Linked DNA regions of Drosophila melanogaster. The protein of the gene in region 2 interacts with the protein of the main gene of each other region in a pairwise test. Each region holds a gene or a part of one and is shown on either strand. Other genes may lie near its edges.

Region 1 (8,814 bases), on a different chromosome or scaffold from region 2:
AATCCCCTTGCCCCTCAACTTAATTAAATCTGATTAGGTTTTCTAATTTTTTCCAGTACCATTTGCTAATCGTTTTGTAATTGCATTTACTGTTGGGGTGTGTCAGTGGGGTACTTTAAATTAAGTGCTTTACCTTCTTCAAAAATTATTTTAGTTAGTTTAGTTCTTTCTCACGTGACCCTTTGAAAATGTTATCAACTCTAAAAATCACCTTAATACATTATATAGATTCCTTGAAATCATTGCTGCAAACGATAAGCTTTGCTTCCCATTGTTTTTCCTCTCCTCGTCGTTTGTTTTGTACTCGATTTCAAGGCCGGGCCAATTGCCAAATTTAGAGCTCCATGGAGGCTTATCATCCGAGTTTATATTTATGATGCAGCACTTGGGGGGCGTGTGTGCCTCCATACCATATAAATACCATACTATGCTACCTATACACGCGTACTTGTTGCCCTGACGACTACCGACCGATATGATTTCCATGGGCGATTAGCCCTGCAGACTCAATAAATCCGTTGCCAACTGGCCATGGAAAGTTACAACCTATGGATAATGTGACGAAATTTTAATTTCAAATTGAGCTCACCTGCATGGGGTAGGCACGACGATTGGACGGCTGCACTATGACCTTGACATTCTGCTTGACCAACTTCTGGACGTGGGTTGGTCCAAACGGAGCTCGTCGCTCCCACACCGACTGATCCTCTCGCCGAATGGCAATCACTCGACTCTGAAAGAGCAAAAGATTGGGATATTTATTTAGTATATATATTTTAAAAATTAATATCTTTTACATTCGTATGAATGCGATTATTCAATGTGGCTGCAATTGGGGAGTTGAATCAACTCACATGACGTTGTCTGGTGAACGGATGCGCGATTGTTGCGCGCAGTTGAATCACTCGCCACATGTTTCGGCAGCTTTGTGGGATCAGTTCGAGCAGATGAAGTGCGAATTTAATTGTAACCGTTGTGCTTATTCTTGGCCTGAGTGGAATGATCCGATCCGTTGGCTCCGAGCTCTGGTACTCTTCTAAAGGCATCGATGGAGGCAGTCAGCGAAACAGCCTCTAATCAGCAGTTGGACCCAGTCGTAAATCCAGCGATAAGCCGTGCTCTCCATGCATCTCATCGCAGCTAAAAGAAACCAATTTTGTGCGTTAGCTGGGCAAAAAGAGCGAGCTGCTGGTGATTGTCACTTACCCGTGAGGGAATCCGGATCTCCGTTCGATTTTCGGCTGAAAATTTTCCACTTTGATAAGAGAAGTTTCTAAGAATTAAGAGAATCGTCCGGGGAAAATTCCTCAAGCGCTGTTTACACAATGCAATTCTTATACAAATTTTCGGGAAAAAACCGATTATTTCCTTATTGAATCATTCAAAATTGTTTAAAATAATAACATTTTAAATTTTAAAAATATATTTTTTAATAGTCAATATGTGTCTATGCATATGTTCATATGTCTATATGTTATTAAATTAAAGATTCTTTTAAGATTTTAAAAACAATGCCAATGATGTTGAAAACATTTAAAAACAGTATGTTCTTCATTTAAATCGTAGATATATTTTTTATAGATAAAATTGCACCTTGTAAACACCACTTTTCGATTTCGGTTTTTGGTGTTAAAGCATACGTTTTATTTTAATTGCATCTTGGTTTCATAGGTTCGTCTCTAGCACAGATTGCAGTGCAGATTATAAACATTCTACTATTCACATCAAAAACAGAGTACGTTCTTAGATATCTAAAATTCTACGAGCTATTGAGGCAGCAGTCACCATGTTGTAACTTGGCTAACACTCGGAAATAAATATACATGATTATTACAGCTAGTAAAACAAATTGTTTGTTTTTGCTACATTCTCAGGTATGCACAAAACTCAAAAGGAAAACGGAATAACAGTTTGATTATGGGAGTTTTAAAAGAGGAAAGCCGTAAAGCTGTAAAGCTGGTTTGTGGATGGTCAAACACGTCCCTCTGTATAACGTACAGTTCGATCCTCTAGAGCGCCGGCGCCTCGGGCAGCAGCGAGGTGAAGAACGTGATGACAAAGGTGCGCACAACGGAAATCACAGAATTATTGGCATTTGGTGGTTCCACAGCTTCCGCGGAAACGTCAGTCGGTTCTGGATTAGCAGCGGATGCTGGAGCAACGGGAGCCCCAGCCGGAGGTGCATCGATTGCATCTTGTTCACCAGCAGCAGCAGGTCCAGCCGCTGGCACTGCACCAGGCTCATTGGCCGCCTGGGGATCGTTGTTCTCCCGCTGCACGGCCGCATCCATCATGCGCTGAATTTGCTGCACTGCAGCAAAGGCGGCCGCATCGCCAGCATTATTGTTACGATTTATGTTGTTATTGTTCCGCTCGCGGCGACGTCGAAGGACACCAATGTGATATCTAACAAACAATTATAATTTCAATATATGTGTAAACTTTTCAATTCGAATCAAAGAGGAAATGTACTTACAGATAAATCGCACCCGCGATGAGCACCACCAGTAAACAACGCAGCGCTGAGGAGTTAAAGTACAGGACAGTCACAAAAATGGCCAATCGCGTAAAGCTAAAGAAACTATCCAGCCAGTCGTGCATTTCCGGTTCCTCCTGAATGTTGGGAAAATTTCTGTTCTGCGGCGCTCCATTAATCTGAGGATCAGCAGGTACCTGTGCCGCTGGGGCAGCAGCTGCTCCTGCCACTTGTTGTACCTCCCCGAAGTTTCGCCCAGCAATCAGTGGGACTGAGGGCAACAGGGGTTGAGTCGGTGGCGGCAAGCCAGATTGGTTCGAACCGGGCAACGTAGAACTGTGGGTATAATATAAGATTGTTGTGTAAGAATCATAGCATTCAATATTATAGAAAATAATTGTTCGTTTACATGCAAAACTTAATTGCGCACAATAAATTCTTCGGGAGCGACCCCAAAATTATATTATTTAACTGTAATCGTGGCCATACAAGTATACTACAATTTTAGCACGCCTGATAACCAAAATAATAAAAAGATTATAAATAATCAAGAAACAACTTTAAAAATGCTAAAACAGCATTTTGATCTCACTTGAATAATAAAGTACCTCTTAAGAGTGACTAAATACAAGTGTTTCTCCTTCTGAGAAAAATAAAATGTATTCGCTATCGAGCTCTGTGTAATTTGATTCGCTCGCTTCTGATATCAGTGAATTAATTGTTGGATCAAGTGTGTTCCTTTAGCCTTCTGGTTCTGTTCACTTACCGTAGAGTCAACTGCTGCATGTACTGCGCGTAAGCCTGCTGCATCCAGGCGTTGTAGATGAGCGCCTGCTGCTGGAACAAAGCATGGGGACTGGCACTGGCATTGGCAGCAGGTGCTGCTCCCTGGCTCTGCTGCCAGAAGTGTGTCCAGGGATTGGCCAAACCGATGTCACCCGTCACGTGTGGTCCAGCGTTGCCCTGCTGTGCCTGCTGCTGATGTGGAGCATGACGTTGTCGCAGCTCATTTGCATTCCCAGTGACCTCGGGCCCAGCTGGAACCGCATCCTTCTGCGGAACAGTGGGGGCTTTGGCAGCCGGCCTTATCACTTGCTTGCTGGCACACACCAAGTGAAATATGTGGTGCTGTTGGTAGACATCCTTGTAGCTGCGTATCACCTCAGATATCTTTTGGGAGTCATCTAATAGCTTGCCCGAGTAAATAAGTTTCTGGTCCTGGATTAACTACAGAAAAAATGGAAAGAAATAGTTATAGTGGTCAAAACATAAAACATAAAATTTCACATTATAGGTATTCAGAGGGAACCTAGAGATAACTCATTGTTGCTTTTACCTCCGCGCGAAATTTATACTATCAAACAGTGCCTAAATCTATTTATTTGCACACTCCAAGAGATAACAACTTGTACTTGTCAGTTGACTTTATGGAAATGATACTTGAAACTAAATAAATTTTTATAAATTCTACTTGATTTGCTCTGGAAATAAAGAGTGCTAATGTATTTTTTCTGCCTGCAATGATCTGAATCTTTAGTATATATCAGTGATATTGATATGTGGGATGTACATATGTACATAAAAAACTTGGCACATGAGTGGAGCGTGAATATGTCCAAAAATCTTATCACTTTCTAACCGTAACCAAATTAATCCCAGTTCCCAGTTCCGACCCATCGATTTGGCATAGACCAAGTGCATGACGCAAGTGCATGACGGCGACTATAATTTAGAGGAGCAATCCACTGACGTGTACTTGCGACTAAGACGCAAATAGCTTTGGGAACCGACACACCTATGAATCCTAAACGAAGATGATAAACAATAACAAACTTCTCGATAAGATAATGGGGCTCCTGGCCAGTTTTCTACCTATACGATAACAAGGGGGGGAACCAACTCGATAACCCACCGGTTTGCCAGGATAGATAAGAGATAGGTGCTTCTTCAGCCTCTGGACCGTCCAGCAGAGATCGGAGTCCACATTGAGATCCTCATACTGCTGGTTGGACGACTTGATGAGCAGCCGGACACTGGTTTCCGGATTCTTTTGACGGGTGGCGGCATCGCAGCCCGCGGCTGTTGCGGCTGCGGGTGGGGCGGCGTTCTCCTCCATCTGGCTGACCCCGCGAATCGGAGAACTTTCTATTGCTAATTAATGACCGCGATACGAAGATCGGTGATGGGTTTTTGCTGCGCTAGCGGGGACACTTTTTACGCAGCCACTGTTTCTCACTTCCTACTCCGCTCTGCTCTCTGCGTATTTTCGAGAAATAGTTTATTCTGAATTTGACATTTAATTTGGTATTATGCTATTGTTTGGTTTTCAACAGCTGTTCGTTCTGTGGTGTTTTGCTCGCAGCACAGAGTTATTGATTATGAAACGCAGTAAACGTTCCGCAGTTGATCAAAAACTACTCTTCATTTGGTTCTGACCTGTGGCAAGTGATGAGCGTCGGTCACAGGGCTGCCGCGAGTAGCAGGTATTTTTAAGTCGCAGGTTGCACAAACAGCTGAGAATTGATTTTCCAAAGTGTGTGGGATGTGGCAATTTAAGTACACAGTTGGAAAATATTAAAGTCGTTGCTCAAACACTTGGTTTTAGTGTTTTTAGAATTTATTCCTTTGAAAAATATACGGTATCTAGTTATTTGCAGTTGTGGATTTTGCTCATCACTGACAGCAACACTTGTTAATGCCATATACTACGCAACAGGGTTGCCTTGACTTACGGGGATGCCAACTCGCGTCATCGTGACGTGTCGATTATGTATAACACTTCAGACGTTGAACTTTGAATGAAAACACCGAATAGCATATAAAATGCATTTGCTCCTTAGTAAAAAAGTTAAGAAGGTTTGCCGCTGTTTTCGTATTCGAATTACGAATTCAATACTATTTCGTGAAAATATTTTTTTGACAAAGCGGCATAAAATAATTCATTTACAGATGTCTTCGTCAAGATTTCCTATTCTATCGTTGCCGCTTCGTGATTCGCGTGCCATCTCTAATAACATTGCAGTGCTTTAGATATTTTATAAATTATATATATGGTTATATTCTGTTGAATGTTAGCACGTCCGACGTGCCTTTTCCCCTTGAACTCATGGATAACAAGTCAGCCGTATCTGCTCTACAGGAGTTTTGTGCCCGGACACAGATTAATCTACCAACATACAGTTTTATTCCCGGCGAAGACGGAGGGTACGTCTGTAAAGTTGAACTATTGGAGATAGAGGCCCTTGGAAATGGTAAATTTAAATTACAAATCTCAACCACTATTTATATTCGTATCTAAACCGCCACATATTTATCCAATTCTAGGGCGTTCGAAGCGTGATGCCAAACACCTGGCTGCCAGCAATATCTTGCGTAAAATCCAACTGCTGCCCGGCATACACGGCTTGATGAAGGATTCGACTGTGGGTGATCTGGATGAGGAACTGACTAACCTCAACCGGGACATGGTGAAGGAGCTGCGTGACTACTGCGTCCGCCGCGAGATGCCACTGCCCTGCATTGAGGTAGTGCAGCAAAGCGGCACCCCGAGCGCCCCGGAATTCGTGGCCTGTTGCTCCGTGGCCTCCATAGTACGCTACGGAAAGTCGGACAAAAAGAAGGATGCCCGTCAGCGAGCGGCCATTGAAATGCTGGCCTTAATCTCCAGCAATTCGGACAATTTGCGTCCGGATCAAATGCAAGTAGCGAGCACAAGCAAATTGAAAGTTGTTGATATGGAAGAATCTATGGAGGAATTGGAGGCATTGCGCAGAAAGAAATTTACCACCTACTGGGAGTTGAAGGAAGCCGGGAGCGTAGACCATACAGGCATGCGGCTCTGCGACCGACACAACTACTTCAAGAACTTCTATCCTACCCTGAAAAAGGAGGCCATTGAGGCCATCAATTCAGATGAATACGAGAGCTCCAAGGATAAGGCTATGGACGTAATGAGCTCTTTAAAGATAACACCCAAAATCAGTGAAGTGGAATCTTCATCGTTGGTTCCCTTGCTTAGCGTCGAGCTTAATTGTGCATTCGACGTGGTCCTTATGGCAAAGGAGACCGATATCTACGACCATATAATAGACTATTTTCGCACCATGTTGATTTAATGCGTATAACATTTATTCAACTATTCTAGCTTAAAACTAAGTAAACTCGTTTTATTTACACTCTAGAATGCACATATTTCATTTAATCTTACGATTAATACAATCTCCACCAATTTGTAGGTGGGAAACATAAAAAAATTATTTTCAAGGTCTTTTAGTAAACATCTATGTTAACTTTGTACACGATTGAGATAGGTGTAAAAAATCCAAGGAAATAAGTAAGGGGAGTGGGTACAACAACTTTTACTTTCGAGAAGGTATAACATAATGATATTATTAATTACTTTTCGATGCCAATACCAATGTTAATTCTATTAAAATGTAAAGTATTTATACGGTCCGAACTTATTGTTTGCAACAACTGATTATAAAATATTTGAAGCAATTTACATAAATATGTATTGCACAGTGAAATTAAAAATCTGAACATTTGCCTTTAAAAGGAATGCTAGTAATCAAAGACTTACTTGAAACAAATATTTTAAATAATTTGACGGAAAAAAATGGTAAAAATGCTGCATTTCTTTTTTTTTTTACAAGTACAACTTTTATACGAATAAAAGGGGTTTCAGTCTAAAATAAATAAAGTGCTTCGTAGTCTTCAGCATTTTTGATTTTATTTTTACAACACAATGCTAAAATGAAAACTAAGCGTTCCTCTTAAAAACTTTCAACAATGTATTAACAATTTCAATGTCAATTGCTTGCCTTTTAATGGGTTATCTTATATTAGTACAATATGTTAAATAACAAATCCATAACAATTTGAAATGTTTTCCTAAAAAAAAATGTAAGTGTATAAATGAGATTGTTATTGCAAATAATTTCCTAATCAATCACCAAATTTGATTGCATTGGAATATCTAAAAAATCATTGCATTCGCCACATCAATCTCATCATCTCATCGGGAAACGTTCAATTTACTAGTCAAAATAATATTTACACAACTAAAGGAAACAATATATGATTAGTGTTCAATAGCTAATCTTCTTGCGCAGCTTGAGATTGGATTGTTGATGGTCCAGAGACTGTTGTTGTTGTTGTTGCTGTCGCTCCCGATCCCGATCCTTTTCGCTGGACGCACGACTCACACCGCGTACCAGGTGCTGTTGCCACTGGCTGGAGGAGGGCGGCGCCGTGGGTGTGGGAATACCCGAATTTGAGGCGGACGTCGATGCTGAGGAGCCGGACTCACCGAAAAGGCGCCGGGAAAGCTTGAAGCTGCCGCTGTTGCTGCTGCTGCAGCTGTTGTACTTGCAATTGTTGTTCATGCTGCTGGTGGTGGAGGCGTTTGTGGCGTGGGTGGCGTTGATCGATGTGCTGTTGGCTACAGCTGATGCTGCTGTGGCCGCTGCAGCAGCTGCCGCCGCCGTCTTCCTCAACAGCTTTGTGTTGTACTCGTCGCTCTTGTCCTTGTCCAGGCGTGTGGAGCTCAGCGATCGCTTGTTTCGCTTGGCGGAACCAGCCACCAGGCCGTGCTCGATGATCGCCTGCAATTCGGCACTGCCGCGCCCACTAAGCCGGCTTGTGTCTGCAGGATTGGAGGAGGGAGGAGGAGTGGTAGTTGGATTATTGTTGAGGCTGGTTAATTTTGTTGTTTTCGGCAGCGGATTGGAGTTGAGATCGAGCGTGGCGGATGCGGAGCGTGTGGCTATGTTAAAGGAGGCTGAAGTGGACGACGACCCACCAGGACCACCACCAAAAACACCGATTGTGGGTATAGCCGATACGTCCCGGTAATACCGAGCCGTGGCCACCGTGCACGGTTGCGTTTGGGCAGCAGCCGGAGCCGTTTCTCCGGCATTGGGACGCTGGTATCGGATCCGAGATCTCCCCCGTAGCGTCATGTGGTGATGGGAGGTACGCGCAGCACTGCCCCGTGTGGGCGGAATGGTGGCCGAGCTGCCGGCACCACCACCGCCACCGGACACCACGGGTATCTTGCTCTCGTTAATGGTGGCATATTGGCGAAGCAGTTGCTTCTCCACCGGCAGCAACGGTTGCTCCTGCTGTACCTGCTGCTGCTGCTGCTGTTCCGCCTTTCGCAGATGCTTCAGCTCCATTCTGAAGGAGCATGGAGCAGGAAGCGAAGAAAGATTGGGGCGAAAAAGGACGAGAGAAGAGAGAGAGAGAGAGAAATGGTGTACGGGGTTACGGGCTCAGTGTGGTTCCCAAAACAGTCTTACTACAAAAATCATGGCAGAGCTCCGGAGTCCGAAGAT
Region 2 (6,414 bases):
CTCTCATATTTGATTATTATGTGCAGCTTTTGACCGCATTGCATAACATAATTGGCCATTAGTTGCCATCAAAACACTGCAGTGTCATCACCTAACAGGTTCTCTACCCTCTCCATTTGCAGCACCAATGCCTATATCTATGCCGTCGATCCGCACACGAATTCCATTATGGAAATGGAGCAACTGCAGGAGTAAGTTTTCTCCCATTCCCCACACCGACTCCCTTCCCGGCCCCGGGCGGCATCTAAAATCGATTGACCCAGAACTGCCATGCGAATTAATGGCCTTGAATTGCTTCTTTCAGCGCCCTGGCTGGCCTCCAACTGGACGCACTGCAACTGCAGCAGCAGAAACTCGACGGCGGCAAGCCCATGCCCCGCATCCTCGAGCTGGCCGAGTTTGGGCAGTTGGCCCGACCTGCACACGCCTCCGCGTCCAGTTTCATGGGAGGATTGGAGTTTGTGACGGTGGTTCTGCTTGCGCTGATCAGCCTGGGTGCACTGATAGCCGCCTGCTGCTACGTATGCATGCGCCAAAAACGGTATGAATGACGAGTGCACGAGTGTCATGCAAGTGCAACTGCAACTGCAACCGAAAGACTGCTTACTGGGCGCTCAAATGTAGCTCATAGATGCATTTCATGTTAGCCATAGTTTTAGCCTAAGCTAAAGGCCCGATAATAAATCTTAAGTCAATTGCAAACGTTGTTGTTGCTGCCGCTGCTGCTGTTGGTGTGTTTGTTGCTGCTGCTGCTGCTGCTGCTGCTGCTACTGCTAATGGCCATGATCGTGGCCAAGTTGCTTGATGCCACTGAGTCTGCATAAACCGGCTGGCATTGGGCCTTTCCTGTCCGATTAAATTATAACGGTAAAAAGCAACAAACACAACATCAAATGCAACAATGCAGCAATAGCAACTTGAGGCAATTAGATGAAGATCGTGTGACATCGCTGCAACTACATCCCAAATGGGAAAGCCAATCAAATGGGATGTCATCTCATCAGCTCAGCTCATCCTGCACAGAGAAAAATAAATAATATGTTCGAAGTTATGTTGTTATATTGAAAGGAAACTACGATCAGGTTTAACTATAAATTTACATATTGAAAATGAAAACAAGTAACTATACTAGAGCTTAATGATGATTTAAACGATTGATATGAGCCGTCTAAAACTACTACAAATTCTTCCCGTGTCTCTTGCAGACGTCTCTGGTCTCAGCGTGATTTCTCCGCCTCCGATGCCGGTCTCACCTATACCATCGCTGGCATCGGATCTCCTCGTGGCCAGAAGCAGCGCCGTCAGCGGCAGCAGCGGCACACACAGCGCTGTAGCAAGGGCAGCACGGGCAGCCAACGACCCACCAGTGCCTTCATGCCCGAGTCCGTCTGCTCCTCGGCCCAAACGCAGTCTACGGCCACCGCCACCGAGAAACTGGAGCAGCAGCTGCACCATCACCACCAGCAGCAGGCGATGGCCACACAGCAGCAGCATCATCAGTACCTGAACGAGTGAGTGAATGGCCGTGGTCAAGACCGCGTCTAGTCAAACGTGTTTCCATTCTGGACACTAATTGCCATCATCCCCGAAACAGGCAACAGCGACAGCAAAAGCGCGAGTACATAGACGTTCCTCTTCCCAAGTCCATTGCCAAGGCTGCGGCGGTGACGAGTGGGGGCGATGGAGCTGTGGGCGTCGGGAGCACTCCGTTCGTACTGAAGTACAATGCCTGTCAGCCCGTTAACAATCTGTAAGTCTATAGATTATATTTAATATGGTTTCAAATTTGGCACAATTGTTATGAACTAGACTTAACATACTAAACTGCAACCTATCATCACAACAGTAACAATTACGAAACCTCGCTGTTCTCACTTCACTCGACGGGCCAGGACTCTGGTGTGGAGTTCCTGAGCAGCCGCGAGCTGTACGAGACCTCGCCGGATTCCTTTCAGCACGGAGGCTCTAAGCGCGGCAACAACACGGAAGTTTTATGCCCCAGACATGCGAAGGCCCACTTGGAGCTGCGCCAGCCAAATACGGACAGCAGGTGGGTAGAAGAGTGTGCTTTATTTCGGATTGCCTTCTTAACATTTGAAATCTCATTGCAACAGTGACACCTATGAGGACTCTCTGAAGACGGACGAGCCACTGGTGGCGCATAACTGTCGCAGTGCCAATTGTGAGCACCGCCAGCACCAGCAGCACCCCAGTCACCATCCCCACTACCAGAACACGCGGTTCGAGAAGCGCTCCTGCGTGCGCCACTCCTTCTCCGGGGTCAAGGACGACCTCATGCAGCAGTCACCGCAGATTTCACTGCGTCCCCGGGGCCACGCCCTCCGCAACTCGATGAATGACCTGGAGCAGCGGCTGCACAACCTGGAGCAGTCCTTTCGCCGCCCGCTCGAATTTAGCAAATCTAATTCATTGTTTTAGTTCATTTTTTAGCTAGACAAAACGCAGTGCAATTTTTAGTGTAGTCAACCTAGAATAGACTTTAGATATTAAGAAACAAGTGCAATAAATTTGAGAGATGTTACAATTAATATAGCCCCCAACTCTGAAAAAGAAAGTGATATATTTGAAATCCGGGAAAATCAATTGAGCAGTAGAAAAACTCAAAAGAAAATTTGATTAATTTCCAGTTTAAGTATAAACCCATTGAAGATATGGAAATACAATATATAATAGTATAGAAATTCATTCTGATCATATAGTAGCTTATGGATTTCAAAGTGAAAATCATATTGAACTTATCTGTTATTATAAATATTATTTCCATTCAAATATTGGATGAACTACTCTTCGATAGACGACACAATCTTAAGTTCTTCCTTCTGTTAACCACATAAATAAAATTAATTTAAAGTTTCGTGTCACGATTACGGCTTATCGATATCTGGCGCCAGTGTCACTAGTATTTGTACCATCACTAACCTTGGTCATAAAAATAAAAGCTAGCGTTCCATTTATTTTCCATCGCCCGAGCGCTGTTCCCTATCCATTAACACGTCTCAATCCTGGAGTGCACAACATCCGGTGAGAGGACTACCAAAAAGAGATAGTCCGCCGCTGGTTGTAGGTGAATAAACAGTGAAGAAGCGAAGAGTCCAAAGGATACAATCGCAACCCACTTGCCAAGCTGCACACTTTGAGTCCAACGTTGGAGGAGGAGCCGCCATGAATGCCCTGCGGCAGTTCTACCTGGAGATCCCGGTGGTCACACGAGCCTACACCACGGTCTGCGTGCTGACCACCTTGGCGGTGGTAAGTGTATCCCGTAGTGCGTTCTAAATCGCGGATGACGTGTACGTGTATTATCTTCGATTATATTTTTTGCCAACTTTTAAGCACCTGGACCTGGTGTCGCCGCTGCAGCTCTACTTCAATCCCACGCTGATTGTGCGCAAGTTCCAGATCTGGCGCTTGGCCACCACATTCCTGTACTTTGGCACAATAGGCATCAGTTTCTTTTTCAATATGGTGTTTACATATCGATATTGTCGAATGTTGGAGGACGGATCTTTCCGCGGACGCAGCTCCGACTTTGTCATGATGTTCATCTTTGGCGGCGTGCTAATGACCTTCTTCGGAATCTTCGTCAACCTGTTGTTCCTGGGCCAGGCCTTCACATTAATGCTGGTCTATGTGTGGTCACGACGCAATCCACTGGTGCCAATGAATTTCTTCGGGGTGCTTAACTTCCAGGCGCCGTACCTTCCGTGGGTGCTCCTCTGCTGCTCCATGATTCTGGGAAACACCGTGTGGGTGGATGTCATCGGCATGGGTGTTGGCCACATCTACTACGTGCTGGAGGACGTCTATCCTACACTGTCCAACGGCTACAGACTGATCAAAACCCCCTACTTTTTGTGAGTTTACTTTGAATTGGGATATAACTTTTGCAATAACGACTTGTTGTCCTTAGGAAACGTCTCTTCAATGAGCACATCGAACGCAACTTCCAGGCGGCTGCTGAGGATCGACCTGGCGGATTTCCTTGGGGCGGAGAGGGTCAGCCCCTGCTACCGGAAGAGATTGCGGCTGATGGACAGGATGAGGAGCCAGCGAATCGAGCGGCGCCTGTTGCTGCCGCGCCGCAATAGCAAAACTAGAAAACTTGATTGTTAAAACGTTCTTCTGTTCAAAACGACGACGATGACAACAATGTTGTGTACCCTCCGCCACCTTCTGTTTGGTGCTTGGTGTAATTAGGCGTATAGTAGTGAGAGAAAGGCGTGCAATAGTTAGCCAAAGTTGGTGCAGAGCGTGTGTGTATGTCATTTATTGGTTTGTTTTCTGAAACAGAGCTCATTTTCCATACGAGATGTTCTTTTATTTATAATTTACCCCCAAGGGATGAATCCACGACAGATTGAACCTACACTGCACATGTGATGATTATATATATACAAACCATGCCACAAATAAATCATTATATAAAAAGACCTGCAGTTTTAAAATGCTTGAAATCGCTTGGGGATTGATAAAAAAAAACCATTTGAAAAAAACATTTTCTTTTTACATTATTTGGTTTGCGGAAGTGTGGTTCAATTCGAAGTGCCTAACTTAAATATAATATGAAAATAGCATTGAACTTTTAAAGGTGACAATTCAAATGCGCGCCAAACTTTTAATACGTTGCCACCTGCCAACTCAATTTGACGTTAGCCAACACTGGCTGCGACAAAACAGTTGTTATTCGCTCGTATTTAGTTTTTAGCCGGCTGCTAAATAGTATAGTATTAGTATGTTATATGATATGAACTCAGGATGTCCAGAATTTTGATGAGCCAACTGACCCACCCTCAGAGGGTCCGACTGCTGTACAAAACGATCTTGCGACTGCACAGAGGTAAGATGAAAAATTCCCTATTACTATAAATTGCATGCATTTCAACTAAACTTCTGTACTCCGTAGGACTTCCAGCGGAACTTCGTGCTCTGGGCGATAACTATGTGCGGGACGAGTTCCGGCGACACCTCAAGTGCAATCCCATGGAGGCACAGCTCTTTATGACAGAGTGGGCCGTAAGTTTTACGTAATAAACAAAAAGGCGCCATACTAAGCAAATCTTCCATTGCAGCGATATGCGTCCACAATCACCCAACAACTAGGGATTCGGGGCAAGCCCAAGGGAGAGCTGGGCGAAGAGATTGACCCCAAGACTGTAGAAATGTTGAAAGACGACCAAGTAGTCCAACTATACGAGCTGATGCTGGCGGCCAAGGGAGTAGAAGATGCGCAAGGCAAATAAATCAGTGTATTATTTTATTATGAGTGTTTCTCCAAAATCTTGTACTCGAATTTAATGCCATTCTCCTCCTGCACACCCAGTGGCATGTCGGAATCGGGCGCGACCTCTCGAAAGCTGTCAGGGATCGCGGGGAAAAAGGTGTCGCAATCGAACTTCTGCATTATTTTGGTAATGTACAGCCGGTGACACCTTGGCGAGGCCATGGCCTCCTCGTAGACTCCACTACCGCCCACAATCCAAATGTTCTCCACTTCGTTCTGCTCCTCAAGGATCTTCATGGCCGTCTCGAGATTGGGGCACAATAGTACTCCCTTGGGCAGATCACTTTCCTGAAGTGTGGTGCTCAGCACTATGTTCAGCCGATCGGGAAGAGGCCTCTTGCTTTCCGGCACTCCGAAGTAGGTTTTCCTGCCCATTACCACGGCATTTTGCTTGGTGGGATCACTTGTTCGCTTGGTGGTGCGGCTGAAGTACTTCAGCTCAGATCTGATGGTACAAAAGCTTTAGCTGCGGTTCAATCCTTGTTACCAACTTACTTAATGCGCCATGGTAGATCGCCTCTGATGCCGATTCCGAAATTCTCGCAAACTGCCACGATTAAATTGAATCGAAGCATCCTTAATCCTTACTGAGAAAGCATAAGCTTGAAAATTATCTTCCAAGCTATAAAATTCAAACAGCTGATCAAGGCAATGCTGGAACCGATTTCGATAGCTTCGATTACTTACCTATTATCGAAACACGCTTATGAAGATCTTAGTCAGATTTCAGGTTGGTTTCGCGCCACTCCCACGAAAACAATATTTCTAGATACAATGTGTCTTGAATTTATTTTTATAGTGATCCACATATACTTTACAGGGGATTAAAAGTTCGTTAACTATTACCAAAAAGTTATTAGATACATTAGATATAAGAGGTTTTCGAGCCTGATTATTTCCAAAGGGTTACAAGATTTTCTGTCTCAAAATATGTTTTTTATATTTCAATACCATAGTGGTGATATTCCTGGATTTTCCAAGACAAACAAGTCTCCAGTTCTACTCTGGTCCCTCCAAAAGCCAGTAGGTCTCCATCTCGCCCTTGCCCTTGACCTTGACAAATCCCCGCGCTTCAACCTTATAGCCCACCTTTTGCACCTTCAGCGCAGTAT

Evidence for each region.
Region 1: the proteins of Der-2 (region 2) and Herp interact in a two-hybrid assay, tested with the Drosophila melanogaster proteins (one large-scale study listed by BioGRID).

What each region holds. Positions count from the first base shown.
Region 1 is NT_033779.5:7,794,921-7,803,734, forward strand, and holds Herp (Homocysteine-induced endoplasmic reticulum protein), read right to left. Parts: upstream 5,139-8,814; 5' UTR 4,593-5,138; coding exon 4,389-4,592; intron 3,704-4,388; coding exon 3,243-3,703; intron 2,813-3,242; coding exon 2,477-2,812; intron 2,407-2,476; coding exon 2,010-2,406; 3' UTR 1,394-2,009; downstream 1-1,393. Other genes in the region: LKRSDH (lysine ketoglutarate reductase/saccharopine dehydrogenase), read right to left, coding at 590-733, 855-914; r2d2, read left to right, coding at 5,583-5,727, 5,801-6,591; Cdc14 (cell division cycle 14), read right to left, coding at 7,567-8,656.
Region 2 is NT_033777.3:16,480,724-16,487,137, reverse strand, and holds Der-2 (Derlin-2), read left to right. Parts: upstream 1-2,914; 5' UTR 2,915-3,183; coding exon 3,184-3,270; intron 3,271-3,354; coding exon 3,355-3,875; intron 3,876-3,931; coding exon 3,932-4,109; 3' UTR 4,110-4,444; downstream 4,445-6,414. Other genes in the region: Cad89D (cadherin 89D), read left to right, coding at 123-191, 305-541, 1,206-1,511, 1,595-1,750, 1,847-2,050, 2,115-2,439; Sdhaf3 (succinate dehydrogenase assembly factor 3), read left to right, coding at 4,777-4,858, 4,925-5,034, 5,091-5,261; Dhfr (dihydrofolate reductase), read right to left, coding at 5,279-5,747, 5,798-5,877; Gyc89Db (guanylyl cyclase at 89Db), read right to left, coding at 6,302-6,414.